6 linked regions of the Ovis aries genome follow. The protein of the gene in region 2 binds, or shares a complex with, the protein of the main gene of each other region. Links are inferred from orthologs where the notes say so. Each region holds a gene or a part of one and is shown on either strand. Other genes may lie near its edges. The genes, in order: MYBL2, TFDP1, RBL1, LIN52, E2F5 and LIN54.

Region 1 (4,867 bases), on a different chromosome or scaffold from region 2:
CACCAGTCAGCAGAGCCACTGGAGGGCATCAGGCAGAGGCAAAGCCGGTGCAAGGCCCTAGGGTGTGGAGGGCGCAGAGCGAGGCCCTGAGGGGCAGCACTCACGGGGGCAGGGGTTGCAAAGTGGCCCCGGGGCTTCGGGGCTGCTGGCTTCTCGGGCTTGGCCTGCAGGAAGCCCTCGTTCAGCAGGCTGCTGTCCTCTCTGCTGCCCGACGGGGTGAGGCCCGAGGAGCCCGCTGCGAGGATGCTGGTCGGCTGAAAGCAAAACCAAGTCAGAGGCTCAGCATTTTGCCACAGGCCTGGGCAGCCTCCCAGACAGGCCTTTACCCTTGAAGCAGCCTGCTGGGCTCAGCATCCTTGTTACAGGCAAGAACCTGAGGCACAGGCAGCTCAAGAGACGCCAGAGACCAGGCCCTCCACTCCACCTCCTCTGCATTTAACCACCTGACCTGACTTTTTTTCTTTCCACTAGTTATTTCACTCCCCAAGGGTCTGTCTGGAGTGCACAAAGTTCCCGCCTGGCGTGGATGCCTCATTAGATGGAGCTTTCTCTGCCAGGAGTTTGAGTGGCAGGCGGACCTGTAGGAGCTGCCAGGCAGTCATCTGTCTCGTGGCCTTTCCACAGCCCTCACCGGCCACCAGTGAGATACAAGCTCACCTCACTGCCTGCTGCAAGGGATCGACTGCCCGGCATGGTTTCTGGGGCCCAGGCTCTGTGGAAGCAGTAGCCCCCTCTGGAGGTTGGCCTGGGAATAGGGCGGCATCCATGCCAGGGGAGAGGTGCCTCGATCACCTGGCAGGGCCCCAAGGCACCTCACTGATCATCTCCGGGTCCTCCCTAGCAGTGCAATAGAAGGGAAGGCGCTGGGGACTCAGAAAACACACACGCCCAACAAGTGCTCGCCATCAGTGCTTGCCGACCGAGCCTTCTGTAAGGACCAGAGCAAGGCCGCCTGGGTCGACCAGTGGGGAATGCCCAGTGCCACCTGCCCCCTTCCTCCCCGCTGAGCCCGGCACAGGGAAGCCCCACCGACTCCACCCCCAGGGCTCTCCAGGCTGAAGGGCTCCAGAGGCCCAGGCCCCCCAAGGGGACTCCATACTCTCAGCCTCCTGCAGCTGGGTGGGGAGTAGGGAGTGGCCTCACAGGACGGCTTCTCTCCCAGACCCCTGACCAACCTTGGGCAGCGTGGACATCATCAGCTTCACGTCCTCATCCACGATGTCGAGAGCCAGGGACTTGCGGACTTTCTTAATGGGGCTTCGCCGCATCTGGGGAGAGGTGGTGGTTAGGGCACACGCCTGAATTCCCATCACCCTCAGTGCCTGATGACACTGGTCCCGGCTGCCCTGGTCCAGAAACCAGGCCCTGGTGCAGGGAGAGCCCTGCAGCAGGCCCGGCTGGAGAGGGTCTTCTGGGGGAGCCGTGGGGGCCCAGGACACTGGCCCCATCGTAGACTCTGTCCACAGGGCAGCCTGTCCTGCCAGATGCTCACCAGGTATGGAGGACACCAAGGCCACCTCCACCCAACCTCATCCCCAAGGGGACCAAGCGCAGCCCAAGTCTCTACCACACTAAACACCCACACAGCCAAGTTACCACTAGAACACCCACCAGCCGGGGTGCTACACAGAGACACATAACCCCGTGGGACACAGGCTGTTATGGGAATGCCCAGCCCCCAAGCCCCGCGCCTCCTATAAGCAGATCAGGGGCAGCTCTGACCCCAGGGAGGGCCTCTGAGACTGACAACTGTCCCCGAACTCAGCCCTGTGCCCCCAACAGCTGCTACCCCTGCTGGGAACCACCTGCAGACACAGCTGCCCACACACCAGGGGGCCCAGCTGGAGGGTCCCCTCCCCGCCTGGCCACCCACCACTCTGGCCCACTCCCGCCTTCCCTTCTCCCTAGAGGAGAGCCCTGGGAACAAAGGGGCTTCAAAACAGGAGACACAGAGCCGCCTGCGGTCAGGAAACCACGTGGGCCGGGGGCGGGACAGGTCTGTCCAGCGTGGCCCGGCCTCTGCACCCCGCCATCCGGAGCAGTGTCCCCACCCGCTCCCACCTCACCTGAACTGGCTGGCCCCACCTCCTCACTCTGCGCCGACAGCCGGCTGGCGGCTCGTCTGAAGGATGCCCCCTGAAATCCTCTTTGGGCCTTTTCTGTCCCCGAATGCTGCTGAGTCACTGGGGGTGTTTGCCATTTCTGCCCACTGAACTCCAGAAGCGACCCCCTCTGGGTCTTAATCACTGCTCTACCCACCCCGCCTGGCCCAGAGCCCACTTCAGGAGGGTCCAAACAACGCGGAATAACTGAGGCACCAGTTCAAGGGGAGAAGGAAGGATGGCAGGCAGCTGCGCCGGCCAGTTTCATGGACCCCCAGGCTGTAGGAATGGACGGCCGCCCCCCGCCCCCGTGCCTGTTCCCCAGCCGCCCCCTGCTCTGCTGCCTGTTCCCCGGCCGCCCCCCTGTCCCCCTGCCCCGCCACCCCCGGTGCATTCCCCAGCTGCCCCCTGCCCGGCCAGCCACTTACCCCGGCCTTCCTCTTCTGCTTCTCGGGCCTCACTTCATCCTCGATGATGAGCTCGATGCCGGCCTCAGAGCGTAGCACCTCCTTCAAGTCCTCCTCCAGGTGGGGCGTCTGGGGCTGTGGGCGGGGATGACCAGGGTGAGGCTCTGCCCCCAGGCCAGAGGACTCGCGCTGAGCCTGCTCATGGGGGCGGCAGGGCAGACCCGGCCGCACCTCCGCTGCCCTGGGTGATGCCGGAGGCAGCCTGGAGCCGGGATGCTGGCCTCACACACAGTGTCCATGGCCATTAACCGTCCTGCCTGGGACACTGGCCTCAGCTCCCTGAGGGCTGGGAGCACTCCAGTTCATCACAGCCACCCTCATCCAGGCCAAGGAACCAGCTGGCATCCTCCGCTGGGTAGACAGAGGCTGAGAGCACAGCCCAGGGCCACACAGCTGTGAGCTCAGAGCCTGGACACACTCAGAGCCCAGCTCCTCCCCGCCTCGGCCCCACACCAACAGAGGACCCGGACGCACTCAGAGTCCAACTCTTCCCTGCCTTGGCCCCATGCTAACAGAGGTGTTGGTTCCACATCCCTTTCTTGGGCCTGGGCGCTCAGGTGGCAGAGGCCAGGGGATGTAGGGCACAGTGAAACCGGAGAAGTCACTCTAAAAGCCCCCGTGTACTTGAATTATCGCTGCCAAGGTCGGACTTGCCCTCTTGGATGTGTCCCGAGAGCACACAGACATTTCAGTATCTGGCAGCTGAGTCCAAGTCAGGAAAGGGCCGGACTGACTGTGGCTGGCCCAGGGCAACTCCGCCAGCTCCAAGCCAGGACGGGGAGACCACAGCCCCACCTGCGCCCCACGTGGTGAGCTGGGAGGGGAGGTCACTGCAGGGATTCTTCTCCGTGACCCGCCTTTCTCCCACCTGCGGCTGGGTTCTCAGAAACGACCTGCTTCAGAAAACCCGGGGCGCCAGCCCTCTCTTTTGCCCTGGGGTAAAGCAGGACCATCTCATGAACTAGGAGCTGGGGGAGAAGGGCCGTCCTCACACTGCGGGGAAAGCAACCCAGGAGATGTCTGCACACTGCCCAGCTGCTTCCAGCCCACTGACAGGCAGCTGGTCAACAGCCTTGGGTTTGACAAGCAATTCACCGCTTTCCTCAGCCAGCTCGCAGCACCCACGTACGTCCTTCTCCATCCCAAAGCCTGCCCACGTTCTGCCCGGCACAGCCACGAGCTGAGTATTCGGTCACTTCGGACGTCGGCCTCCACCACCCCCAGGTCCACTGGGATGCCGCTGTAGCTCCAGCACCAGCCAGGACCGCCTGCATGGTGGTTGCTCTGGAGACATCTGGAGAGCTGGTAACTCATTTTAACACGGGGCCCTGTTTATCAAACTAAGGAATCGCAACTTCTCAAGGCAGTCGGGAGATGCTAATGGGATCTCAGGACAGGGCGAGTGATCATAAACGGCTGGAGGACTGGCCGAACCACCTACCAGGGGCTTTAGTGGTCCGTACTTCTCAAGGGCGTTCTTGAACGGGGTCGGCGTGTGGGGAGTGTTGTCCATGGAGTACTTCTGATCTGGGGTTACAAACCTGCCAGGCACGGAGAAGGAGGCTGGGCGATGGCACTGGGGGGCTCGGCTGTGGGCTGCTCCTGACTCCCACACCCCCAACTGACCTTTGGCCTCAGCGGCAGAAAGGCAGCCCCCAGACGTGGTCTCTTCCCATCCCATCTGCCCGCCCACCCACCCACCTCCCCATCTGCAAGGGGAGTTCCGGGGACAGAGAGGAAGGGCCGTCCTCAAAAACAGCAAAGAATAGGAAGAGCCTGAGGGAGTCCAGGAGACCCGAATGGATGGAAGAATGGCTAAGATGTTGCCGTCACTAGGATTTTCCATAAAACAAGGTGGCCTGTGGCCAGACTGCAACCCCAGCAGGAGAGGCAGGCGAGGAGGACCAAGAAAGACCACACCCCTCCCCGTCTCTCCGGAGAAGCAGCAGCTACTCCTTTTGTGGTGCCAGCTGTCTGTTTAAGAGCTTAGTGACTTGACAGGAGAATCGTTTCTCAAGAAACCCGTCTATGTTAAATTTTAGATCACTTGTTGAAAGACAGATTTCTGACCAAGGGATCCATACAGCTTATCTGAAATCACCTATCATTATGAGAACTAAAATTCCTGAGTGGATCCCTGATCTACAGCTTGACTCCTGAAATATAAATAGCAATGCTTCTCCCCCACCCAGCAAATGTAACGAGCCGAAGAGCAGTTAAGCAACTCTACCTGGAATTCAAGGGTCATGATGATACAAGGAAGAAAACTTATTGTGAAAGCACCTCCACAGAAGCAGG
Region 2 (4,264 bases):
GTCAAAGCCTTAAGCTCTGTCTCAGCTCCTGTGATCAAGGAGGAAGTTGAGGACGGCTGGGCGGGCCACCTTACTGCAGGCCCATCACCTGCGAGGGCATCAGCCCCGTCCCTCCGCCCCAGCTTCCCCATGCTTCTGACCTTTTGGGGATGTGCCTGCAAAGGTCATGTTTCACGAGGATTCAAATGTTAAAGGTAGTGGTAATATTCATCTATCCTAGGTTGTGTCTCAGCTCAGTTCAGTCCAGACGCTCAGTCGTGTCCTACTCTCTGCGACCCCATGGACTGCAGCACACCAGGCCTCTTTCCATCACCAACTCATAGAGCTTACTCAAACCCATGTCCATTGAGTCGGTGATGCCATCCAGCCATCTCATCCTCTGTCGTCCCCTTCTCTTCCTGCCCCCAATCCCTCCCAGCATCGGGGTCTTTTCAAATGAGTCCGTTCTTCACATCAGGCGGCCAGAGTATTGGAGCTTCAGCTTCAGCATCAGTCCTTCCAGTCAATGTTCAGGACTGATTACATTTAGGTCACATCTTTTTTACGACCACATGGACTGCAGCCCACCAGGCTCCTCTGTCCATGGAATTCTCTAGGCAAAAACACTGGAGTGGGTTGCCATTTTATCCTCCAGGGGATCTTCCTGACCCATAGACAGAACCCATGTCTCCTGCATTGAAGGCGGATTCTTTACCACTGGGCCACCTGGGAGGCCCCAAGGTGATGAGTACAGTTCTTCCAAAAATAAGACAAGGAACAGACGCTCTCCCCACCACCAGCCACAGAGAGGAGGCACCACTTCGGCCATGTCCTAGGGACCACGTTCCTCACCCGCCCCCGGGGCAGTGCAGGAGAGGCTGGGGCCGTGGCGGGTCCTGCATCCACCGCAGGGCCCGCACCCCTTCCCTGCAGAGAAGGGCCTGGTGGGGGCAAACGAGCTCCAGAGAGCATCGCGAATCACAGGGACACGCAGCTTGTTTAAAATGCCCATGCGCACTTTATTAATAAAAACTAACAGTGCCAAGTTAAACAAGTCAAACAATTAAAGTCTCTTTATTCCACAAAATATTACAGAAAAGTTTATTTGTGTTCCAATAAAAAGACTATTATTTTAGAACAGGCAGCTAACAGCAACTGTGCCGTTAATGGTTCTTGGTGAATACATTTTAAAAGAGACTACTGCCTGTCCTGAAATTTCTTTTTTCTTTTTATAAAAAAAGAACTATTAAAAATGATTGACAAATTTTGAGTTAAAAAACTGTTAAAACATTCTCTATATTTAATTTCAACTTTATAATAGATTACAGGAAGATGCTTACGAAACAAATACAACATTTGTTTCAGTACATGTCTTAAGTGATAGACTTATAAGTATGTAAACAACTATATAATAAAAAGTCTCCAAACGCTGCCTGTAAGAAATCAGGCGAATCTTACCATAAGCAATAAACCCTCCAAGCCTCAGTTCCCACAGCTGCGCCAGCGTGGCAGTAAACAAAACAAACAGAAAACAAACAGGGGCCTTGCAATCCATCTGCTGCAACCCAGGGCAAACCCACAGTGTGAGCCCGATGGGGCCGCGCAGTCAATATAATTTAAGGGGACGAAGCCATAGTCACACGGCGAGACGCAGAGCCGGGCGCCGCCGGGCCCACGGTGCCCCCGGGCGCTGCGCTGGGCCCGGCGCTGCGCTGGGCCTGCCGGGCGGCGGGAAGGCAGCACAGCTTCTCCGGCAAACTCGGCAAACTCTGAGGGGGCGAGATGGACTCTGAACTTAAAGACAGCAAACGAAAACACAAAATCCGCAAGAGTAGAGGTCGTGCGTCGGTGTCAAACTCAGGCGGCTCGTCGGGACCCCCGGAGCACGGTGAGCGGCTCGTCAGAAGCGCCCTGAGCCCGGGGGTCGGCAAGCTCTTCTGGGAGGAGGGCGCGGAACGCAGGTCTCCCCCCGCGCGCTCCTGGCCGCGGGCGGCGGCTCAGTCTTCCTCCTCGTTCTCGTTGAAGTCCTCGTCATCCTCGTCGTCCTCGCCGACGCATGACACCGGCGTCTCCACCCGGGACCCGCTGTACTGCGACCCACTGGAGCTCGTGGCCAGCGCCCCGTCCGCGCCGTTGGCCAGGTCGCTGCAAGGACAGGGACGTCAGGGGCCACACAGCGGGCAGCACGGAACCCGCCTCTCCCAGGCTGAGCTCACCGTCACCCTGGCCCAGGACGACAGAGCGAGCGGCTTGAGCGGGCTCCTGTTTCTCAGCGCGCCAGGAACAGAAGCCCCGGCACACCAACCGAGACCCCGAGACCCTCCTCCAAACTCTGCCCGCCACGCCCTCCAGGGAGGAAAGGAGTGGGCCGTGTGAGGCACGTGTGTGCATTCACACACGTGCACACGGTTTTCCGACACTCTGCCTATTTCCCTTTTAGGAGAAAACCGCACGCAGGTGTCTTAATACCTTTTACTGGTGTTTACCGACACTGCCCAACAAAACCTAGGAGGTATCACGCTCTATGACAAAGTAACCCCGTATCTGGGAAACCCCCATCTAGCGACCACATCTGAAAGAGCGGAAAACAGGCTGAAGCTGCGGCTGCCTGCAGCCAGGAACCCCCCGAGTGCACGACCAGAGAGGGCGGCTCAGAACCGGGGCCCCAGTGTCAGCTTTCCTTCCGAAATGGTACCGGCTTTCATCTTGTTAAAAACACTGACAAGAGCCCGAAAGTTCATTAATAGAATTTCTTAAAGATGAAACTTTAGAAAATACCCAAATTCCACCTCCCGGAATAACCAGTGTTCAGATTTTACAGACTGGGCCACGCACAGTGGCAGATTCAGAATTTAAAACCAAACCAACCTCTGTCAAAACGCAACCAGGTGCAGGCACCCCGCGAGGGGCTGGGCGCTGGGACCCTCACAGGGAGCCTGCCCCTCCCTCGGGCGCACCGAGGCCGAGCTGGGGTCACGTGGAGGCCACACAGCACGGGGGCTGCCGAGCCTTCGAGGCAGGTGCACACAGGGTTTACTAGCCAACCCGGTTTTGTTGGACCTGCATGCTGCTGATTTCATGTGTTTGAGAAACAAGACATCCTTTACTGTTCAGAGTTGATATAGACACGTATGAGGCCCAACAGGAGACACCCAAGACCACTGTTCTGTCCATACTCACACGGAAATCACCTTATGCTTATCTTAAAAACCAGGAGGAACTCCGAGGCCTGACCCAGCCCTGCTCCGGGGGCCTGTGAGGTCACGGCTCAAACACACTTTGACTGAAATGATGAAAGTTCCTTCAACACGTAGAGCAATGCACGCAGTACACGGAAAAATAAGAAGGGGCAACGGGCACCACCACGTGTGCACTGCGACTTCAAGCGTTGAAAGAAAAGGGAAAAAACAGAGGGAGAAACAGCCTGACTGAGGCTGCCGGCCACGCAGTTCAGGCGGTTTTGCCGCCGCGGCACTGAATTACTTCAAAAGAAAATAAAATCCATGTACCCCTCCTGGTCTTTACAGGGAAACTCTCATCAGAACAAACAGCTTCTCTGCCCAGAGCACGAGCTCCGGACGACCCTGGGGCCCTGGTGTCCGCTGCGCAGGGAGCCCGGCTCCAAGCAGGACGGAGGCCGCTCACATGAGACCCCGGCTTCCCGCCGGGGAGGGTGGCCGCGCGGCTCTGGGGGCGCAGTTACCTGGCAGACAGCCGCGTGCCGTTAGACGTCGACACTGCCGACGCGACAAACACACCGCCGAGCGACCCCTGAGCCATTTCTGCAAAGAGGAAGAAAACGAGGCAAACGTCACGAAGCAGAGCCCACAGGGCGCTGAGACAGGGCCGATGGCTCCGGGCTGGGCACCCTCCGGAGAGGGGCGAAGACGGCACTGCAGGGCCGGGAAGGGACACGGCCTCCAGGAGACGGACGGGCCAAAGGGGGCCGGCTCCCGCGCCCCGCCTCCCGGCGGGACCCCGCCCCGCCTCCCGGACGCAACCCTCCCCTCCGCCCGGCCGGACCACCACGCCGACAGGTGGGCAGCAGGGGTCGGCGGGGCAGCCGCTGGCGTTGGGGGTCGGAGAGCAGGAGCTGCTTCACGGACGTCCTGCAGGGCTTGGGAGCCCCCAGGCCACCCAATGCGGGGCTCGTGAGGGAACCCACAACCAGGGGGGCACAGGGAGGCCTCTCCTCTCACCAGAGCGCCCCCCGCCGCTGCCAGGATCCCCAGCTTGGCCGGGGCGGGGGGGCAGCAGGACAGACTCCAGACACCTGCTCAGCTGC
Region 3 (4,867 bases), on a different chromosome or scaffold from region 2:
CCATGAACTCTAGAGCCCGTGCTCCACAACAAAAGCCACTGCAATGAGAAGCCCACATACCACAGTTAGAGGGTAGTCCCTGCTCATGCCAACTAGAGAAAGCTTGTGCAGCAATGAAGACCCAGCAGAACCATAAATAAATAAACAAGTAAGTAAAATCTTAAAAAAAATAGATAATAAGTTTTGACAAGATGTGGATAAATTGGAATCTTCATAGAATGACTAGTATAGTCATTTTGAAAAACAGCTTGATAGCTCCTCAAAAGGTTAACCAGAGTTACCACATGACACAACAATTCTTATATATACATCTAAGAGAAATGAGAAATACGTCCACATAAAAAGCTGTACACATTCATAGCAACATTATTCATAAGAGCCCAAAGTAGAAACAACTCAAATGTCCATCAACCAAAAAAGTAATAAAATGTTTATATCCATGCAATGGAAAATTATTCAGTCATAGAAAGGAATAAAATGCTGATATATGCTACAACATGGATGAACCTTAAAAACATTATGCTAAGTTAAAGAAGCCAATCACAAAGAAATATCATATATTGTATGATTCTGTTTATAGGAAATGTCCAGGAAAGGCAAAAAGACAGAAAGTGAATTAGTGGTTGCCAGAGGAAGGGGATTTAGTGGAGGTATAACATGTGAATGCTAATGAGTATGAGGTTTCTTTTTTGGGGTGATGAAAATGTTCTAAAATTGTAGTCAGTATGTGACTATATTAAAAACTGTTGAGCTATATACTTTAACTAGATATGTGGATTATATCTCAATAGGGCTGTTTAAAAAAAAATGCTACTCCAAAAAGGATACAGTGAAATGTGCTAGAAGTATTACTAATTACCTTTCTAAAGGTAACTTGGCAACATGAATATAAAGTCTTAAAAACACTCAATTTTTTCATCCAAAAATTGATTTTTATGAGAATCTAAGGAGAGAGTCAAAGATATAGGCAAAAATATTTATACAAAGATAGATATCATGCTATCCTATGACAGTTTTCTTTTTCTTTTAATAAGTAATGTACATATTTACAAAATTTCAAAGGTACTGAAGGATACATGATGGAAAGTATCTCTCCTTGTCCATCACCTCCCTCCCAGTTTTCTTCCACTAAAGCAACCAACTTTGCCTTAGTGACTAATTATACCTTCCCCATCCAGGGAGTGAACCTGGATCTCCTACACTGCAAGTAGATTCTTTACTGCTGAGGCAGAGAAAGTCACAATTATATTGTTACTAGTTTCTTATTTATCCTTGCAGAACTTTTTAGGGTATTTATGAATACATACCTACTTAAATACTTTTTCCGCACTCAAATGAAATCATACTACCTACAAGAGATATTCTATACTTCTCTTTTTCCCTGTCATTTTGGAGATCATTTCCTCTCAGCTCACATGAACGTCCTTCCATAATGTTAAGAGCTGGATTTTATTCCACTATATGGATGTGCCATAAATGCATCTGAACATTCCCTTTTATCCTTTAAACTTTTTACTTTGAAATAGCATCAAACTTACAGAAAAGTTGCAAGAATTGTATGTAAGAACTTCTTTATTCACCAATATTCACCAATTTTGCATTTTGCATATTTGCTTTGTCATCCACCTCTCTCTATGTTATTTATGTGTGTACAGAGCTTCCTCAATTTACAAATGGGGTTACAGGATATAACCTGTAACCCTACTGTAAGTTGAAAATATAAGCTGAAAATGCATTTAATATACCTAAACCTACTGAACATCACAACTTAGCCTAGCCTACCTTAAACATGCTCAGGTGCTTACATTAGCCTACAGTTGGGTAAAATTATCTAACACAAAGCCTATTTTATTAAAAAAAAAAAAAAAGTGTTGACTGTCTCACATAATTTAACAAATACTCTACTGAAAGTGAAAAACAGAATGGCTGTGAGACAGAATAGTTGTAAATCTATTGGCTGTTTACCCTCCTGACTGCATGGCTTACTGGGAGCTGTGACTCACCCTGCCAGCAAAAACCAAGTACAGAGAAAAGATGATAATATGGAACATATGTCCAAATAGTGGCACACTATCTAATTTTAAGGGTACTCAAAAGGCAAAAAGGAAAACTGCTTTGTAAAAAATGAATATCAATGTTTCTATTAAAATTATGGAAAGTAATTTTTCATTCAGGTTCTAATAAATATGAAAATAATAAGTGAATGAAAATAATCTTGATTTAAATCACAAGTTATTAAAAAACTTGTAAAAAAATAAGGAAAAATTACTTCTCACTACTTAATGAGACTCAGACAACTGCTTTATTAAGAATTTAAAATTCAAATTATAAAATAGATACTAATTTTTAACACTATTAAGAGCAGAACAAATATTTACACAAAACTTGTGGGTTTTTTTTGGCAGCACCTCATGCCTTACAGGATCTTAGTTCCCTGACCAGGGATTAAACCCAGGTCTTTTGTAGTGAGTGTATAGCCCTAACCACTGGACAGACAGGGAATTCCCACATGAAACTTTCTTTTTAAGTTGGAAATTGCTTAGGCTAATTTTTTTTGTAAACTGAAGCTGAATTAAAGATACAATTCAAAAGAAGACACACTAATGTATATTTGTTTACTGATAACATAAGTAACACAGCATGGACTTCAGAGGCTCTGCCACTTAGGTATATAACCACTAGATATAATTTAACCTCGTGGTGACTTGGCTTCCTCATCTTTAAAATGAGATTTATTTGATAGGATTACTGTGAGGATTAAATGAATAAAGATATGTAAACTATTAGCACATAATATCTGGCACACAGGTAAATATTCAATAAAAATCTTCTAGTTTTACAGGTATATGTATGAATCTATACTTCTTCAGCATTTTGCAGTATGATTTAGCAATATTTGCTGCATATTTTCCCAAATCTATAAAGATCTACATAGTCACTTAAAATTAGTGACTTCCCTGGTGGTCCAGTGGTGAAGAATCCACCTTCCAAATGCAGGGGACGGGTTTGATCCCTGGTTGGGGAACTAAGATCCCACATGCCATAAGGCAACTAAGCCCGCACACTGCAACTACTGAGGCCACATGCACTGGCCCCTGTGCTGCAACTAGAGAAGCCGATGAGCGGCAATAAGGACCCAGAATAGACGAAAAAAAGAAAAAAATTTTACTGCATCAAGTAATAACACTAGAATAGAGATGTTATAGAAAATTATTGTATCAAGATTTAATTTTGTTGACATGGATAACTGTACTATAGTTATTTAAGGAAACACACACTGAAATATTTAGGGGTATAGGGCTATAATGGATGCTACTTAAATTGAAGTAGTTGAGGAAAATACATTATTTAAGGGAAAAAGATTAAATGATAAAACAAATGGAGTAAAATGTCACTAAAAGGTGAGTCTAGGTCAAGGGTGTATGGATGATCTTTGTAATTTTCTTATTTTTGCAACTTTTCTGAAAGCTTCAAATTATTCTCAAAGTTAAAATATTAATGAAAAAAATCATAGATAAAGAGATTTAGTAACATTCTTGGCAGTCCAGAAGTTAAGACTCCATGCTTCCAATGCAGGGGGCACAAGTTCAATCCCTGATTGGGGAACAAAGATCCCACCTGCTGCATGGTGCAGCCAAAAAAAAAAAAAAAACCAAAAACAAAATCTCTGTGCCCGTAATGCCTGTGGTGATAGTTACTTAACTCTGTAAAAAATACCCCAAATCACTGAATTGTGCAAGTAAGTAAATTATATGACTTATAAATTGTAACTCAATTAAAAGAAAAGATTTAGAACAGGGGCCTTTGGTTGAAGTTAGAATTTGAGGAAGAAAGTCAGAGAAAGAATGTGAGAACTGGGGAAAAAATGTGAGAACTGTAAAAAAAAAACTTAGAATGGGATGAAGCTAAATGATTTAAAATGAAGAGAAATTAAATTCTAAAGTTAAATTCAGGATTTATAAAGTAATGTTTGAAAAAGTGCTTTACCTTAGTTTAGCTGAACGTAGTATTCTGGTAAGTGAAACGCAATTTCCTTCCATGATACCCTTGCCAACTGTGGGAATGATGCTTTTGCGGCAAGCAACATACAACGAACACGCCAACCAGTGTATAACTTCTCCCTGGCAGGCAAAAGATAAAACAGCAAAATGGATATATTTCGTTAGAACACTTGAATTCTAGACTCAAAAGAGACCTTAGGATTATCTGGTCTAATTTTCATACTGTATTAACAGGCGAGAGAGAAGTGAGGATATTTGCCCAAGGTCAGAAAGCTTAGTTGGTTGCAAAAATGGGTATAAAATTCCTTACTCTCAGTCCTGTGTAACATGGTGAATTGATATTACTCTAAATATAGATCTCTCATCTACACCCCAAATCTAATATTACTGAAAACGTTCTCAATTTCTCAGCATTAGCTTTTTCAATATTATAACACCAGTCATGGCCTTGATGATGTGGAAGTTCCTATCATTTTGTTTCTTTTTTAATCACTTTGGCAGAGAAAAGGAAAGAACAAAGTAGAACGATGGCAAAAGAATCACGCATATAAAAACTAATACCTATCGTGTTCAACATAAAGGAGATTGTCAGTTTTGTGAGGTAGAAATTGGGGGAATTATTTACCCTAATCTTTAACACAGTCTAAGTATGGCTCTCTATCTTAGCAGATATTTCAATTTACAATGCTACAAAAAAGGTGACATTTGAGAATTCAACACTAGACTTGAGCTACTGAAGCTAGATTCACTTTATGACTTCATTGCTGAGCTTTACATGAAATTAAGAACTAGCCACAAATCTCATAGCATAACACAATACTGTAGTGCAGATCCTCTTTAAGACCAGACTCTAGCAGAATAAAAAT
Region 4 (5,569 bases), on a different chromosome or scaffold from region 2:
AATGTTGCCTCATAATATTATAAGTCCTTGCTAGGCTTGAACAACGGGGAAAGGCTATGAACAGCTGGAAACAGCTACAGGCCTCAGGCATGTAGCTCCTGTAGCTCAACCACTTGTCCTTAGGCTAACTTCAGAGAAGACCTGAACACCCCCACCCCACTCCAACCCCAGGGGCAGAGCTGAGTTGGGGCTTCGCTGCTAGCTCAGACGGTAAAGAATCCACCTGCAATGCGGCAGACCTGGGTTCGATCTCTGCATTGGGAAGATCCCCTGGAAGAGGGCATGGCAACCCACTCCAGTATTCTTGCCTGGAAAATCCCCATGGACAAAGGGGCCTGGCAGGCTACAGTCCATGGGATAGGACAGTGGAACACTGCTGAGCGACTAAGCACAGCACAGCACAAGCTGACTCTGGGGTGGGAACTTGGAACTTACACTTCTTGTCTTCCTTGGTTCCCATTTTCTATCACCTATTTTAGAGATGTTTAATTCTTTGCACGTGCCTGGAACAAACTGGGATCATTAACTATGTGTCCTTATTCAACGCCAACAAAACACTGTAACTCTGCCAGAAAGTTAAACAAAGTCTTGGCAAGCAAAGGCACAACAGTCCACAGCCTGTGGAACATGCAAAGAGCCGTAGCTGGGGAAAACAGCTCAGCAAATGACTGCTTTTGGGAAAACGGAGTGAACATTCCGAGAAGGGGATTCAAAGTTCATTCACTGACCCTCGCCCCTCGTGTGCTTCCTGCCCCTCGCCCCCCGGCCTTTACCTCGGATTGCAAACCGTGAAGAAGGGTGGGGGAGGGGGACAATTTGGAGGTTCTCGGCCCAATGCTAAGAGAGGTGACCAGAAGGGGAGTTTCTAGGGCAGAGAGGTGGCTGGTGCAGAGGTGAAAGGGAAGACGTTGGGCAGACCGACAGAGGTGGGGCAAGAGAGTGTCGGCAGGGATCGGGCAAGCCTCGAAGAGGAGAGTGGGCCAGAGCCATAAAAGGGGGGAGGCTCAAGAATAAAAGGGCTAGGGCTGAATCCAACGAAGGCGGGTACTGAGTGAGGTGTGGGACAGGGCCGCACAGGTCCGATGGGCACAGAGAAGGGTCAGCCATGAAGGGGATGGCTCAGAGAGCGGATGGAAAGGACGAATTTCGAGCTTCGCAACCCCTTGGCGCTACCCTCACTCGCCTGGAGGATTCGGGCCCGCAATGCCGCCGCCGCCGCCGCCGCCACCACCGCCATGGCTCTGGGTTGCCTCTTCTCAGCCCCCGCACCTCTACGGTCTGAGACTGTCCAGAAGCTCTACTGCGGCCAGGCCTCGCCCCTCCATCCTGCCGCACCTCCTCACTGGCGGAAAGGACAATCTCCCCTAGCCAATTACTCGCCCTAACGCCTGACTCCGCCCCTCAGTCCCAGCCCTGGGGGAATATGATTGGTCAGAAGTGATAGCGTTCTCGCCCTGCGCTACCTCAACAAATTCTGTTGGCGGAGGGGTAGGGAAGGCACGGAGCGACTCGCGATGTTCTATATCGAGCACAGGAGGAAGACGCCCCCGAACCCGGAACTGCGATTGGCCAAAGGCACAACCGCGGCCCCGCCCACTCACTGAGGGAAGTAAATAAGTTCATGCAAGAATTTTTGCAGTAGCTCCGCCTCATCCACTGCGCGAGGGGAGATGTGGCTAGCACCGGGGGGCGGGCCTATGTAAAGATTGTCCCTATAGGGGCGGGGAGACGAACCCGGCTCCCGGGTTTGAGGGCAGGGTTTCTCTTTGGGGGCGTGGCTTACGGATCCAAGCTTTCCCGCCGACAGTTGGCCACGTCACGTGACATGGGTTGGAAGATGGCGTCTCCCACGGACGGTAAGAACCGGCTTAGAGACCTTTCGCCTGCTACATCCTTCTGCGCTCTCCTGGGAACTTCCGTTTCCATCTACCACTCGAATTTACATTTCTTTCATGGGCTCCTATCCTTTCCCTTCCACTTCTTTTCTAAGCGATGTGGCTGCTTCTTAAGCTCGCCGGTTCTTCACAGCGGCTCCAGAGGTGCCTGGTTTCTTCTCAGTGTACCAGGCAGATGGAGGAGGGCGCCCGCTAGGGACCTTTTCTGGGCAAAAGGACGAGGGTCGCCCTTGTCCTCCTTTAGCCTCATTTGGGTGAGACTGATGGCCGAGGAAGAGATACTGATGAGGAAAGGAGGCGCCTTAGTGTAGCTTTCTCCTCCGGGCGCCTCACTGAAAAAGGTCAGTTCTTTTCTCTTTGAGCATCTGGAACGATTTTTTGATTCTCTTAAGCGCTAGCTAGGGTTAGTGGCTGACCTCATCCTGGGATTGAACCACAAGAGAAAAGTAATTCTCTCCCGTCTCCTTAGATTGGGACCGTTGCCCTGGCAGCTACAGAAGCAGGAGACCCTCTCGGGTCCCTAACTGTGAGAGTCCCGAGGAAAATAGAACTGAGCTTTTTAGCGTAGTCATGTACACGTCTCTACCTCTCTTGTTTCTGCTTTATGAATTGTTTCTTAAGGCTGAGTGATTGAACGATTTCTGCTTATATGTTGTCGAAGATGCAACTCATCTCAGATAGCAATTGAGTGGTTTTGGTATACTCCCAGGCTTTTGCTCTCCGTTCTGTTTTAGGATTAAAGTTTTGCAGTCATTTCTGAACTGTTTTTGCTTCGACTATTCCATCTCCACGTCCATTTCACTGATATGTAGTTTTCTCTCCTTTTGTGTTTGGAAGGAATCTTGAAAGTTCATTTCAGGAATGAGGAACTTGTGGCCAGAAAAGCTATATTGAGATCCTGCTTTATGAAAGGCGTTTTACTAGGTGCATTGGGAGAGAAGAAGATTAATCAAACATGTAAACACTTTGGCAGTTTCAGGTCTCATTTAAATGTCACCTCCCAGAGAGGCTTTCACAGAGCACAGGAGCTGAGCTTGCCCCTCTTCACCACTCACTTTCTCAGTACCTTCATAGACAGAACAGTTTATTATGTCAAGTTTGCCCCTTTCAGTCCAGATTGAAAATTCCAAGTCTGTTTCATTGGTAGTTGGGTCTCAGGGCTTAACACAGTGCCTCGCCTACTGGCAAGCAGTAGGTCTTCAATTCATGTTTATTGAAAGAATGATTAGATATATGCTTAAATAATATTTTAAGGTTTTTGAGCATGGGTACATACTGTATGGGGCTCCCCTGGTGGCTCAGCAGTAAAGAATCTGCCTGCCAACGCAGGAGACATGGGTCCCTGAGTCAGGAAGATCCCCTGGAGAAGGAGATGGCAACACGCTCCAGTATTCTTGCCTGGGAGATCCCATGGACAGAGGAGCCTGGCAGGCTACCATCCATGGGGTCGCAAAGAGTTGGACATGATTTAGCTACTAAACAACGACAAGCAACCATATACTGTATAAGAAATTATGGGTATTGAAAGTCAAAAGAGATTCTTGATCCTGCCTGAGTGCTCTCTTGTTAAAAATGAAATGTCTTTTTCTTTTTTTTGGCCAGGAAAAAAATAAAGAGCATTTAAAAAGTTAGCCAAGGGAATGTGGAGTTGTTATTTATTTAATGGGTATAGACTTTCAGATAGGGAACATGAAAAAGTTGTAGCAATGGATGGTGATGATGGTTGCAAAGCGGTGTAAATGTACTTAATGCCCCTGAACTGTACACTTAATACTGGCTAAGATGGTATGTTTTATGTATATTTTACCACAGTTGGAAAAAAATCAACCAAGTGATAGAAGTAATGGCTATGAAAATTTTTAGTTTATAACTAAGTTGTCTTTATATTTTTGTTCCTTATATTTGATTTTCCCTGTCTTCTCTCAATTTCTTTTCCTTCCTTTGGCCAGGAAGAATATTGGAAATTTTTTTTTTTTCCTTTTGCCTTTTAACCATGTCCACTCTCACTCTATTTGCACACTTGACTTTAAAAGTTTTCATGCTCATCTTTTGCATAGCTTTATCCTTTTCCCTCTAATCTTTTTAATCTGACAAAAACAGGTTGAGCACTGTGAACTTAAATTTTGCATCTAAATAAATGTCTTATCCTAAAATATACTACTGCCTAGCTCTCTCACTTCTATTTTTAGAGTTCCACCTGTTTCTGTCTATAAGATTTAATTAAAATTATCTTGCTATGAAAAAAAGTTTAGATCTTTCCACTCTTTCTCTTTTCAATGCTTAATTTGCTGGGACCTCCTTGAAAAGAAGAAAATTGAAATCTAAAGTCATTTGTTACTTAATGTATGAGAATAACACAGTAGAGTCAAATTATACCCTAGACTGTGGTATCATAAGGTCATGCTTGTTGGTTATTGAATCGTACCCTCAATAAGTTTATTTTTGTTATGCTTGAACTTTCCATAAGTAGCATTCCTTGGAAGTTTGAAAATTGGGATTTTGTGTTTCACATATCTAGTTAAGGCAGTTTTTTAGAGTTTAGTTCTTTACCAATTAGAATGCCAATGGAAATTTCCTTAGAGTAAATAGATTGGTTCAGCTAACGTCCCTCTTCTCACAGCAGTACAGTAAAAAGGAAAGAAGAATAAAGGCAAAAATTTTTCTCCTTTTGATGAACACACTTAGGATTTACTCTTAACTTTCCTGTCTGTCATATAGCAGTGTTAGCTATAGTCATCATTACACCCCTAATACTTACTTACCTTGTAACCTAAAGTTTGTACCTTTTGACCACTTTCCTCTAATTACCCCCCTCGTTACCCCCACTTCTCATAACCATGAGTATGATCTCTTTTTCTGTGAGTTTGCCTGTTTGCTTATTTTAGATTGCACTCATAAGTGAGGTTGTATTTTATTTGTTTTATTTCATTTATCATAATGCCTTCAGCGTCCATATAGGTTGTCACAAATGACAGGATTTCCTCATTTATATATGGCTGAATAATATTCCATTTGTGTGTGTGTGTGTGTGTGTGTGTGTGTGTGTATTTTCAAACTTTATCCATCAGTGAACAGTTAGGTTGTTCCCATGTCTTGGCTATTGTAGATAATCCTGATGTGAACTTGGGAGTTCCTTAGACTATTGGGAGGAAATTTTGGTTAGAAAAAAGGACATGTTGAAAGATTTTATAAATATGTACATTTTCTGGGTTCATAGCTTTTTTTTTCAGATTTTCAAAAATTTGGCTTACCCAGAACATGTTAGGAACCACTGTTTATATCATTAAATTAGCTAATTTATGCAGCTAATTTGTATACTGAGCACAAAGTAATGTACTTAACAAATGTTAACTGTTGTTGTTAATATTAAACACCTTCTGTGTTCCAGGGCAAGAGTGGAAAAGAAATGGTGTCAAAAAATTAGGCAGGGGCTGGGTCATATAGAATTTTATAGGTCACAATAGATATGCATTCATGAATTTAGCTGGGAAGAAGTCTTTTAAGCTGGAGAGTGGCTTGAACTGATTGACATTTAACTTTTTTGGAAAGTAGGTTTGAGAGTAGGGATGGGGAGGGGTAAGAATGGGAGCAGGGAGATGGTAAGAGCCTATTGAAGTGGTACAGGAGAGAAACGATAGTTTCTTGCTTAATTAATGAAATTTCAGAGTGTGGTT
Region 5 (4,867 bases), on a different chromosome or scaffold from region 2:
TCATGAGTTACATAGGAAAATGTACTGTCAGAGAGTTAAGGAACAACATTTATATCAAGGCCTGGATATATAAATTAAGATAATAAATCTGAAGGCCAAAGTGACCAAATGCATGAAGGGACTGTCACACATGGTCAGATCAAAAAGAACACAAGTCTTTTGTCTGAAAAGGCAAAGATCCGTAAGAGAAGTATTCATCCTTTGCTCTAAGAAGAAGCCACTTTGGATTTCTGTGTCATCTGAGGACTCTTGGGAGAGGAAAGGAAACACATTCCATGGAGACAGGAGCTTCTGGGGGAAGTACACTGATGGGGGGAAAGATGCTGTCGGTGGGAGTGAAGAGTCAACTACAGAAGTCGCTGCATCGAGACTCTCCTTGGGTCATGGTCTGGGGAACTGGGAGCGCCCACGATCTTGGCAAGCAGTGCAGCAAAGTGCGTGATCAACTAGTTCAGTGCTTTTTGGAATCTCGGGGCTCCACAAGGCACAGCTGAAAACCCCCATTATTATCAAACTGTTAAGGAGTTCTGATTCTAGAAAGGAAATAACAAATGACATCATGGACTTTTTCACCAAAGACAAGACAACGTGAAAAATAAATTATATACACAGTCAAAAGTTCATGAGAGGTGGTACAAGATAAATGTAGTTAAAATGTTCCATATGAGTACGGGTAAGTCACAAATCAACAGTCACATATCTGAAAGAACTCAGTGGTCATAAGGGACACATGGAGTACATCACTAATGTTTTTCCCCAAATATGGTAGATATACCAGCTTTGGGACCCTACGCTCTACTAAAGTACTATCTTTGGGTTAATATGAGGCAGAATGTATCCTGGACTGATTGCAGGCCTGTGTGATATTTCATTTTCAAACCAAAATTAATTTTTTAAAAAACTTTGAAGAGTTGCTGAACTTTTAACCACTTTGAAACACTGAATGATTTAGCTTCAGAACAATGATTTAACAACGCCCTCCAAATTCGCAGACTCCCTGTAAGCACACACTAGCTAGCGTACTGTATCCTGCCAATGGGTAGACCAAAGATAGGGGAACTTGCAACAGACACATCAGCTTGCTAAGAGATGTACTATATGACTTACAAAAGTAAAAATTTAAAAATATTCATATAAATTATTAGAAGAATGTTACAAAATTAAAATGTTATTATCCCTTGCAGAACTGAAGTCTCTGAAAACACTAGAATAAAGTAACTGATGTTCAGACTGAAAGAATATATAAATATATATCTATGTATTTAAAGATGTAAAAGGACTTCTATTTAAAAGGATATCTATTATTAATGGAGTCGTCCATCACATTTTTGATGCTTTGCTGCAGCCACAACTTCTGCTGATCAAGTTCTCTCTCCTTCAGTTCTAGATCTTCAATTTCGGCTTTGAGATATCTTAATCTATCTATGACTTCTTTAGTGTTACAGCCAGCACCTACACCTCTTAAAAACACATGAAAATTAATATCCCCAGTATTAGACCCAGGTTAACATCACTTAATTTTTATAGTAAAAATTGTAAAACTCACTGCATATATTTAAAACAAAAATCTTTACACTCTTCTAAAACCATTAACCATTAAAATCTTTAGAAAACTTAAACACCCAAATTACAAAATTCTCAATCTGTCCTAGTGTGCTCTTTGTCATCTAGAAGGGTGACTGGTGACTGAGGCACCACAGGATGCTGGAGTCGAGTGGTCGCACTGGTAGTCTCATTACATGGACTGAGATGCGGGTGAAACAGATTATCATCTTTTAGTATTTTGTTGGGATTTTTGGCTAAAATAAACTGAAACGTGAAGGATAAGGGGGGCAAATTTGTGGAAAAGAACATGTTTGTTACAGTCAAACATACAACAGTTAACAAATGACAACATGCATTTCAACTAATCATTATTTACAAAGTACATATTCTTGTATGTATGAGACTTAGTTCCTGTTTTCAAGGAGTTTATATTAGGTGAGTACATAGAACAACCAGGTAAAGAAGGATCAATGATACAGAGCAGGATGCAGTGTGTACCAAGTGAGCAGCTGGAGGAAGACTTGAACTTTGAGAGTGCGAATTAAACAGCGGAGTGAGCCACGGGCCATCCCATGTCACACAGGAGGACGACAGAAGCCCAGAGGCGTGCCAGGGACACGCGAGGGGCCGTGTGACCGGTGTAGACGGCTGGGACAGAGGACTCAGGAGACATACACAGCAGAAAGGTCAGCGTTCACAGAGCACTGAGAAGAAAAAGGTAGACTAGAGCAGTCTGTAACTTACTTCCATTGTATACTGTTTTTTGACTTTTTTTCAATTAAGTCAATTCCTTCCAAGACATTGGTGATATCATAAATTCTTCTTTTTTGCCTCACAGCCAAAGTATCTGCAGCCTGTTTAAAAAAAGGGGGTGGGGAGGTGAACAAAGAAATAAATTACCATTCATATTTTCAGGCCCAAAAGGCTTTAGTTATTAAGGTCACAGCATGAGAGCCCAGTCTTAAATTTGACCCGGTCAGTGGCTTGGGAACAATAGCAGGGTATGTGCAAAGCAACCCTCAAACACTGAAAATACCAAAGAAATGATTCAATTTAAAAGCCAGCAGATGTTGGAACGGAGGAAAAAAATGAAAAGGTCATGCCACAAAGCCCACAAAAATAAAAGAACACAATGAGAATACTTCATATCACCTTATGGGCTAATCCTTAAGAGGCGCTGCTAATTGTCTGCCCCTGTCACTTCCTATCTTATTTCTCTGTTCATAAACACAGTCTTGTTTAAAGACAGCTAAGTTACCTTTTTTTTTTTTTGAAACTGAAAAATTATATCTCAGCGATTTTTAAATAATGAAGTCAAGATACTTGGGAGAAAATTCTAAATTATACACACATTGTATAATACCTTGAAATACACAATCTGCATTTTCTAAATTCAATAAAAATAGAGGAATGAATCATGCCATCCCAAAACAAAGCATAAAATTGACAAGAAATAAAAACCTATTGCATAAGGTTGTGGTACTAGCAAATACAAAAGCTTTGTAGTGTCACTTACATTAGGTAAGACCAACAAAAATATTTCATGCTACCATGTCACGAATGAATTGAGGAATGCTGTTATAGTGCCTCTAATTAGTTCTCACTCACATTTCTGACATTTGTTCCCCAGCAGTATAAACAGAACCTCAGAGAAGAGGTTACCTGAAGGCTCTTTTTTCAGAGTAGATTCAGTAGACTATTTTGAATGCGGAGTCACATTTAAGATTCACGGTAGTAACAAAAAAATACATGTATATCCTTACTGACAATATTCAGTACATTATCTACAGAATTTAGTCTCAGATGATTAGTTACTGGCTACCCCAGGGCGTCACTAACTGCTTCATTCTATAAAGTTCCTCCTACAAAAACCAGGGCAGCATTTTGTTTCCTTCCACAGGGAGCAAGTGTGACCAACAACGGCTCACTCTGCAGGCATCTGGAACCTCTAAGTGAGATCTGGTGGTTGTATCACCAGAAACACCAAGTGCCTGCTGCCAACCTCTGAGGTCTTCAGCAGGGGATTCGTGCCTCAGAGAGCAGACCAGAAGGGTGACTGGATGTGGCAGAGGGAAAGAAGGAAGAAGCAGAGCATGAGGCTGTTTGAATCCCCAGCTCTGACTAAGTGGCTCATCTCTTCTAGAAGACGAGAAAACGAAGAGGGCTCGCCCCAGTTTCACCTATACCCTCTTCACTGTACTCGGCGGTTCCCTCCCTGTCTCATCTACCAGCAGAGTTTCTGTTCTGAGTGCGAGGCTGTCTTTCTCAAGAGTAATCGTCTGCCGCAAAGCTAACTATAAGAATCTTAAGTTGTGAATTCATGTCTCATTTCCCTCTTGAGAAGTAGCCAGAGCACTCCCAGTTCTGCGTCATCCGTAGCTATGGACTCACACACCAAAGCCATTACAACCTTAGCAACAGCTCACCAGGCATGAACCAGGTCACAGAGCTATTCTAGGTCACTAGGCAAAGAGCCATGAGATCTCAAGTTTAGTTCAAAATTTGTAAAAAGTTATCTCATTTACAGTTTATTTGTTGTTGTTCAGGCACTAAGTCATGTCCAACTCTTTGTGACCCCATGGACTATACCCTGCAAGGCTCCTCTGTCCATGGGATTTCCTAGGCAAGAAGACTGGAGTGGGTTGCCATTTCCTTCTCCATTATTATTTATCACTGCTTAACAATTAACAACTCTGGGAGTTGGTAATGGACAAGGAAGCCTGGCGTGCTGCAGTCCATGGGGTCACAAGGAGTCAGACACGACTGAGTGACTGAACAATTACAAAATCAAATCCCTGATTCCCAAAACGAAGTATCATTTCTTAAAAAGCTATTAAAGCATATAAACATACAAATGACCAAACTTAAAGAGGATCTCCAGGAGGCTTTTATTTTAGCAGCTGCATCACCTGAAGTCTGGTTCTGGAGCTGGGCACACCAGCTCCAGATGCAGCCCAGCCCTGCCACTTCCTGTCTTCAACTGGCTTCAGGCTCTTTAAACCTCATTTCCTTTTCATAAAATGGGATAATAACATGCTGAATTGTGGGGGCTATGCAGGATAATCTTAGCATACTGTCCTCTAGGTAATTTATACTTAAATGTTGCTAACAGCCTCATCATCAAATACAGGTTGAAACAAGGGATCAAGGGTTAGAGTTGGCATGGATATGGACCTATCATATTTTTCACATAGGGTTTTAAAAAGTTGCATTAAATTCTTGATTTTATTAAGTAATCCAAGACCTCTGTATTCATAAACCCATACCATGAGTCATCTCCAACTTCATTCATTTCTTCAGCTCCCACGGGGTGCCAGGCTTG
Region 6 (5,499 bases), on a different chromosome or scaffold from region 2:
GAACATATGGAACAGATTCAGAGTAGGAACTAGTGCTCAGAAAACAGCAGAACATATGCACTCACCTATTCTTTTTTTAAAATTATTATTATTACTTCTACAGCAAGGCATATTTGAGCTGGGCACACAAGACGCAGAGTGGAAGATGTGCCAGGAAAAGGACCCTAGGATAGCCTTCTTTGCATATCTGTAGGGAAACTGTAAGGAGGAAGAGACCATCTACTAAGAGCTGATTATGTGAAAACAGGAGATGTCTGACCAAGGAAATGGCCTTATTAAATAAGGGTTTAGTGAGAAGAGCTCTACTAGTAGTGACATCTGCTAAAGCAGTGCTACTCAAATTTAATGTGCAACGATTACTAGAGGAATTTTGTCAACATGACAGTTTTGACTCAGTTAAGTTGGGACTGGGACCCAAGGTTTGACCTAATTAAAAGAACTAAGATTTGTGCACTTCCCATAACTCAGAGATGCCCAGCTAGTTTCTTGTTAAGCAACTGAAATAAGGGAGGGAAAAATTCTCATTGCCACCCAATTGTTTTTCTCACTGCTATAACCAAACCTAAAACTATGTCGTATTCTCTTAGAATACTACATGCGTAATAGTTGAGCGTAATAGTTGAGCATGCGTAATAGTCTGGAAAGGGAGGCTTTGTCACATCAAAAAGTTTTAGTAAAACTGTTGCCTACAATAACTAGAAAGGCAGAGAACCTCCCTCACTAGCTTGTAGGTCTAGTGGAGATATTTTGAAAAGAGCTACTTTATGTATGTGGCTGCTGCTTTTATTTTTCAGCAAGGTATTACAAGAGTTTCCCAGGTGGCGCTAGTGGGAAAGAATCTGCCTGCCAGTTCCAGAGACACAAGAGATTCAAGTTCAATCACTGGGTTAGAAAGATCCCCTAGAGTAGTAAATGAAACCCCACTCCAGTATTTCTTGCCTGGAAAATTCCAGGGCAAGGAGGAGCCTGGAGAGCTACAGCCCATGGGGCCGCAAAGAGTCAGGGGTAACTGAGCAAGCAGGCATAAGGTACTACATGTAAAGTTTGAAGTCAGGGTAGATAGAGAACAGAATGTCTGGAAATTCTGGAGCTTCACTAAGTTGAAAAAGTTGACGACTTGTGTAACCCTAAATTACAGGAGAGAAAACTTGGCTTAGAGATTTCTCAGAGCCCAATGTGATTTTTTTTTTGGCAAACACACATAAACAAAAAACAACAGAAAGGAAAGATACACTGAAGCAAAAATCAAACTATTAACAGAGTTCTCTTCTCACTTAAGCTTATTCTTTCAGATGATTTCAAGGATATCATCATTAAGATGTTAAGAATGGGTTGCATATGGAAGTCAGGATATAGGGCAGATTTAATGACTACTTCTAAAAAAAACCTTTAGGAGCTCCCTTGGTGGCTCAGACATTAAAGAATTTGCCTACCATGCAAGAGACCTGGGTTCAGTCCCTGAGTCGGGAAGATCCCGTGGAGGAGGAAATGGCAACCCACTCTAGTATTCTTGCCTAGAGAATACCATGGACAGAGGAGCCCCGTGGGCTACAGTCCATGGGATCGCAAAGAGCTGGACATGACTGAGCAATTAACACCTCACTTCAAAAACGACTTTGAGTATGTTTATTGGCACCTGAAACTGTCTGTAAAGGAAGCAGAGTTTACTGAATATTCAATAAAGTTATGTTAAAAAAAATCCCACTGAAAAACCGGGACTACAAATGCCCTCAACTGTTCAAGTCCTAAAGCGTTCCTCTAGAGAGGGAATGGAGAAGGCAATGGCAACCCACTTCAGTACTCTTGCCTGGCAAATCCCTTGGACGGAGGAGCCTGGTGGGCTGCAGTCCATGGGGTCACTGGGAGTCGGACACGACTGAGCGACTTCACTTTCACTTTTCACTTTCATGCATTGGAGAAGGAAATGGCAACCCACTCCAGTGTTCTTGCCTGGAGAATCCCAGGGATGGGGGAGCCTGGTGGGCTGCCATCTCTGGGGTCACACAGAGTAGGACACGACTGAAGTAATTTAGCAGCAGCAGCAGCAGAGAGGGAATACCCTCCAACATCCAGTTAACTTGTATTTAGAAGGCAAAGCTGCTGCTGCTGCTAAGTTGCTTCAGTCGTGTCCAACTCTGTGCGACCCCATAGACGGCAGCCCACCAGGCTCCCCCGTCCCTGGGATTCTCCAGGCAAGAACACCGGAGTGGGTTGCCATTTCCTTCTCCAATGCATGAAAGTGAAAAGTGAAAGTGAAGTTGCTCAGTCGTGTCCGACTCTTAGAGACTGCTCGTGGACTGTTGCCTACCAGGCTCCTCCGTCCAGTGGATTTGCCAGGCAAGAGTACTGGAGTGGGGTGCCATTGCCTTCTCCGAGAAGGCAAAGCTGGGATCCACCAAATACAATGAACAATGCAATTATCCTCTCAAAATGCAGTACTAACCATGGTGTCTCACCACCATGCAGATATAACAACGGTAGTGGGTGTTCATAATTCCTGGGCAGGATTCTACCATTGCTGTGGACAAGTAACTACTGTGTTTCACACTCTTACTTTTCTGGAACTGTAGTTATCCTATTGCTTCTGTCCTTGCTCCTCTATTGTTTTGTATTACATGTTTGGGCCTGAGGCTGATAATTTCTTCTATAGTGTATATGTGTCTGGACCATGAACAATTACATCCAAACTTTTGGAGAGGGTTGTACATTATCAGACATCCTGGATTTTAAGCTGATACAGAAACTGAGTGGGAACTTGAACTCTCTTCTTTAGGGTTGAGTATCCTACTGTAGGAAGGATACACACAGATACTGTATTATGATCAGAGGGACAAACGGTAGTGGAGACTGCTGGTTGACGCTCCAAAACCATCCTTTCCTTTGTCCTAGGCAAAAGGAAACTAAATATCCAGACTCAGAGTTACCAGGCATGGAGATCTCACTAAGTTTTTAACTATGGAGGGACATCTGAACTGATAGTGAAGGACAGGAAAGCCTGGCTTGCTGCAGTCCATGGGGTCACAAAGTTTTGGACACGACTGAGAGACGGAACAACGACAACAAATTGCCACAGTACTTTCTCAAAGGATTTCTTTGTTCTGGACTTTTCTTTCCCCTTCCCCAAATAAGGAACATGTTCTTTTTCACATATAAAATGGCAGAAATTCAAGTTTAACATCCTTTGTAGGCAAGGCTGCAGAAATTTGCACTCCTATATAAATACATAAATACAATTACGTATCAAAGTAAGGCTATAATATAATTTGTCATCTAAATGGAACAGTTTCCAGAGTGAAAGGGCATGTTATTAACAATTACTCCAGGACGACAGATGGAAAATGGCACTGTCCTGGATAAACTGAGATGTATGATCAATCTATATACAGACGCAGAGTAGGAACGGAATGGGGACATTTTTTATTGTACTTTACAAAAGTACCGGTCTGTAGTGAATTGTAAACAAACAAACAAAAAACCTCGTTCTTTACCACGGGTAGTTTAAGTGCAGCCTTAAAGAACAAGGGATGGTAAACTACATATATGAGATACGGAACTTGACGAAAACCCCGAAGTTTTGCGAATCGGGCACTTACTGGGGTTGCACAAGCGACACAGTCCCTTGGAGTTCATCCGCCAATCCGAAGTGGGAGCGCGTGAGCCCGAGCCTGTAAGAGAAGCCCGGGCGGGCCTAGGATTTGAGGAGTGGAGCTTCGCGTCAATCAACCTTGGGGGCGGACCTAACGCAGGCTCGGCGGTCTGGCCTACACAGGCGCTACTCTGTGGCATCTCGGGTTCCCTCTAGCCGCACTCTGGAGGACTACACTCGGTTTCTTTCGGCCGCGAGAGGCCCCGCAGCCTCCGCCGAGCTGGGAGAAAGATGGCGGCAGCCGTGCGACAGGATTTGGCCCAGCTCATGAATTCGAGCGGCTCTCATAAAGATCTGGCGGGCAAGTGAGTATTTCCCGGGAGCCTGGGAGGTGGAGAGGCAAGCCAGAGACTTGTTCTCCTTGGATTGACGGCGGCTTTCGGATGTGAAGCTAGGAGCGGGCCTGAAGATGAAGGGGGCGGGCCTGAGGTCGGTCGTGGAGGCAGATGTTGGGAGCAGCAGAAAACTGGAGGGGACCTTGTGCAGGGAGCGCTCAGGACCATAGATCTGGAGTGGCTGTCAACTTTTTCAGCCCTTGATGGCATCCTTTCCGTTCTCTAAAGATTCTGGAAGCGCGGTCTGTGGGACGACTGCGCCCATGGCCTTCTAAACCTACCCTGGCGCCCCTTCCCTTCGCTGGCCGGCCTCTCACACCGAATTCTGGCCTCTGTTTGCCTTTGCTGCGCCCGTTTTTTCTCTTTGACTGAGGGCCATTTGTATTCTGGAACCTTGGTTTAGAGTTTTCCGCGGAGATGGCTTCTTGAGGCTGACGGGGGCTGCTCAGGTATGGCCGCTATCATGACGTCCAGAACTACTTGAACCATCTTCTGTGGGTTGTGTTTTGGGTACTCTCTCTCCCTGCCACCAACTCTGAAGGAGGGCATGGAGGAATGTCACCACAACGTGGGTCAGGATGTCTAGAGTAGTGATGTTTGCAGAATTTTAAACATGATTAGAAATTTTGTCGGAATTTATGTAGAAGGGTTAAGTCCACGCCAACTTAAATTTGTGATTTGTGCCTGCCCTGCAGACAGTTATTCAACAGTGTTAATTACATCTAGATAGACAGGGAGATAGATAGATGTCTGTTTCCTCTTTGTAGATTTCACAGCACTAAATTTTTTTTTGGTAATTAACATGCATTCTGTTTCAAGTGTGCTTCTCAAATTGATCCTATTTACATTTGACAGCTAAGATCAGGTTGATCCATTTTAACTGGCTACACCTGTTTTAACCTGGCCATTGAAACATTGACTTTGTTTTATGTAGGCTGTAATGTATTTTGTCTGCTAGTAAATGTAATCCAGTATATCATTGGGAAATTTAGCAGTGCTATTGGGCTTAACTACTTTGTGGGGCAATTTCCCTCTCAGGAAGATGGGATAATTATAAGATAATTATTCTGTCTGAGGACAAAATAGAGTGTGTATATGCACCTAGAACAGTACCTGACACTTAGAGCCACAGGATTGTCCTCCTTATTATTATTAAGAAGCTGGTAAGTACGTATTGACTTAATCCCTGGGTTGGAAATAAATTGAATATGTCTCACTGCTCAATTCTTTTTGCATGTAATTTTGATAGATTTGGATGAAAGTAAAACTCACATTTTTTTTTCCATGTTTGCTTTCCTTTTTGTTTTGTTAAAAAAAAGATAAGTGTGTTAGTTATCAGAAGAGATATAGTTTTCACGTATTTGCAGAATTCTGAAACTTAAGCTAAGCATTTACTTCCTCAGCTCTGAATTGCAGATAAACGATAGTATCTGCCTTATTGGGTGCGTCAGTTATTTACTGCTCTGTAACAAATAAAAAACTTAGTGGTGTAAAAGAAGTGTAATTTCTCAATATGCT

The links.
Region 1: TFDP1 (region 2) and MYBL2 share a complex: the UniProt entries of both Homo sapiens proteins name them as parts of the DREAM complex. The link is inferred for Ovis aries from reciprocal best matches to the Homo sapiens genes TFDP1 and MYBL2.
Region 3: the proteins of TFDP1 (region 2) and RBL1 are in contact, whole or in part, in a crystal structure (PDB 5TUV), measured with the Homo sapiens proteins. The link is inferred for Ovis aries from reciprocal best matches to the Homo sapiens genes TFDP1 and RBL1. Residues at the interface, in NP_009042.1 of Homo sapiens: Pro260, Phe261, Ile262, Thr290, Phe291, Glu292, Ile293, His294, Asp295, Ile297, Glu298; in NP_002886.2 of Homo sapiens: Tyr1004, Phe1006, Asn1007, Ser1011, Leu1014, Ile1017, Asn1018, Ile1021.
Region 4: TFDP1 (region 2) and LIN52 share a complex: the UniProt entries of both Homo sapiens proteins name them as parts of the DREAM complex. The link is inferred for Ovis aries from reciprocal best matches to the Homo sapiens genes TFDP1 and LIN52.
Region 5: the proteins of TFDP1 (region 2) and E2F5 are in contact, whole or in part, in a crystal structure (PDB 5TUV), measured with the Homo sapiens proteins. The link is inferred for Ovis aries from reciprocal best matches to the Homo sapiens genes TFDP1 and E2F5. Residues at the interface, in NP_009042.1 of Homo sapiens: Glu201, Cys202, Leu205, Glu208, Arg209, Arg212, Leu213, Arg215, Ile216, Lys219, Gln220, Leu223, Leu226, Ile227, Gln230, Phe233, Leu236, Val237, Arg239, Asn240, Arg241, Arg249, Pro253, Ser255, Val256, Ile257, His258, Leu259, Pro260, Phe261; in NP_001942.2 of Homo sapiens: Val126, Arg129, Leu130, Lys134, Glu136, Ile137, Leu140, Glu141, Glu144, Leu147, Asp148, Gln150, Lys151, Leu154, Gln155, Ser157, Ile158, Val161, Met162, Ile166, Asn167, Asn168, Arg169, Phe170, Ser171, Tyr172, Val173, Thr174, His175, Asp177.
Region 6: TFDP1 (region 2) and LIN54 share a complex: the UniProt entries of both Homo sapiens proteins name them as parts of the DREAM complex. The link is inferred for Ovis aries from reciprocal best matches to the Homo sapiens genes TFDP1 and LIN54.

The regions. Positions count from the first base shown.
Region 1 is NC_056066.1:72,218,390-72,223,256, reverse strand, and holds part of MYBL2 (myb-related protein B), read right to left. Parts: intron 4,111-4,867; coding exon 4,011-4,110; intron 2,645-4,010; coding exon 2,531-2,644; intron 1,269-2,530; coding exon 1,176-1,268; intron 255-1,175; coding exon 105-254; intron 1-104. UniProt on the Homo sapiens protein: Transcription factor involved in the regulation of cell survival, proliferation, and differentiation. Transactivates the expression of the CLU gene.
Region 2 is NC_056063.1:86,068,990-86,073,253, reverse strand, and holds the end of TFDP1 (transcription factor Dp-1), read right to left. Parts: intron 3,762-4,264; coding exon 3,683-3,761; intron 2,125-3,682; coding exon 1,977-2,124; 3' UTR 1,026-1,976; downstream 1-1,025. UniProt on the Homo sapiens protein: Can stimulate E2F-dependent transcription.
Region 3 is NC_056066.1:66,052,398-66,057,264, forward strand, and holds part of RBL1 (retinoblastoma-like protein 1), read right to left. Parts: intron 4,122-4,867; coding exon 3,988-4,121; intron 1-3,987. UniProt on the Homo sapiens protein: Key regulator of entry into cell division. Directly involved in heterochromatin formation by maintaining overall chromatin structure and, in particular, that of constitutive heterochromatin by stabilizing histone methylation.
Region 4 is NC_056060.1:83,523,058-83,528,626, forward strand, and holds the start of LIN52 (protein lin-52 homolog), read left to right. Parts: upstream 1-1,818; 5' UTR 1,819-1,825; coding exon 1,826-1,856; intron 1,857-5,569. Other genes in the region: ALDH6A1 (methylmalonate-semialdehyde dehydrogenase [acylating], mitochondrial), read right to left, coding at 1,184-1,237.
Region 5 is NC_056062.1:90,368,399-90,373,265, forward strand, and holds part of E2F5 (transcription factor E2F5), read right to left. Parts: intron 2,400-4,867; coding exon 2,290-2,399; intron 1,461-2,289; coding exon 1,297-1,460; intron 20-1,296; coding exon 1-19.
Region 6 is NC_056059.1:98,538,120-98,543,618, forward strand, and holds the start of LIN54 (protein lin-54 homolog), read right to left. Parts: upstream 3,641-5,499; 5' UTR 3,631-3,640; coding exon 3,594-3,630; intron 1-3,593. Other genes in the region: COPS4 (COP9 signalosome complex subunit 4), read left to right, coding at 3,878-3,951. UniProt on the Homo sapiens protein: Component of the DREAM complex, a multiprotein complex that can both act as a transcription activator or repressor depending on the context. In G0 phase, the complex binds to more than 800 promoters and is required for repression of E2F target genes.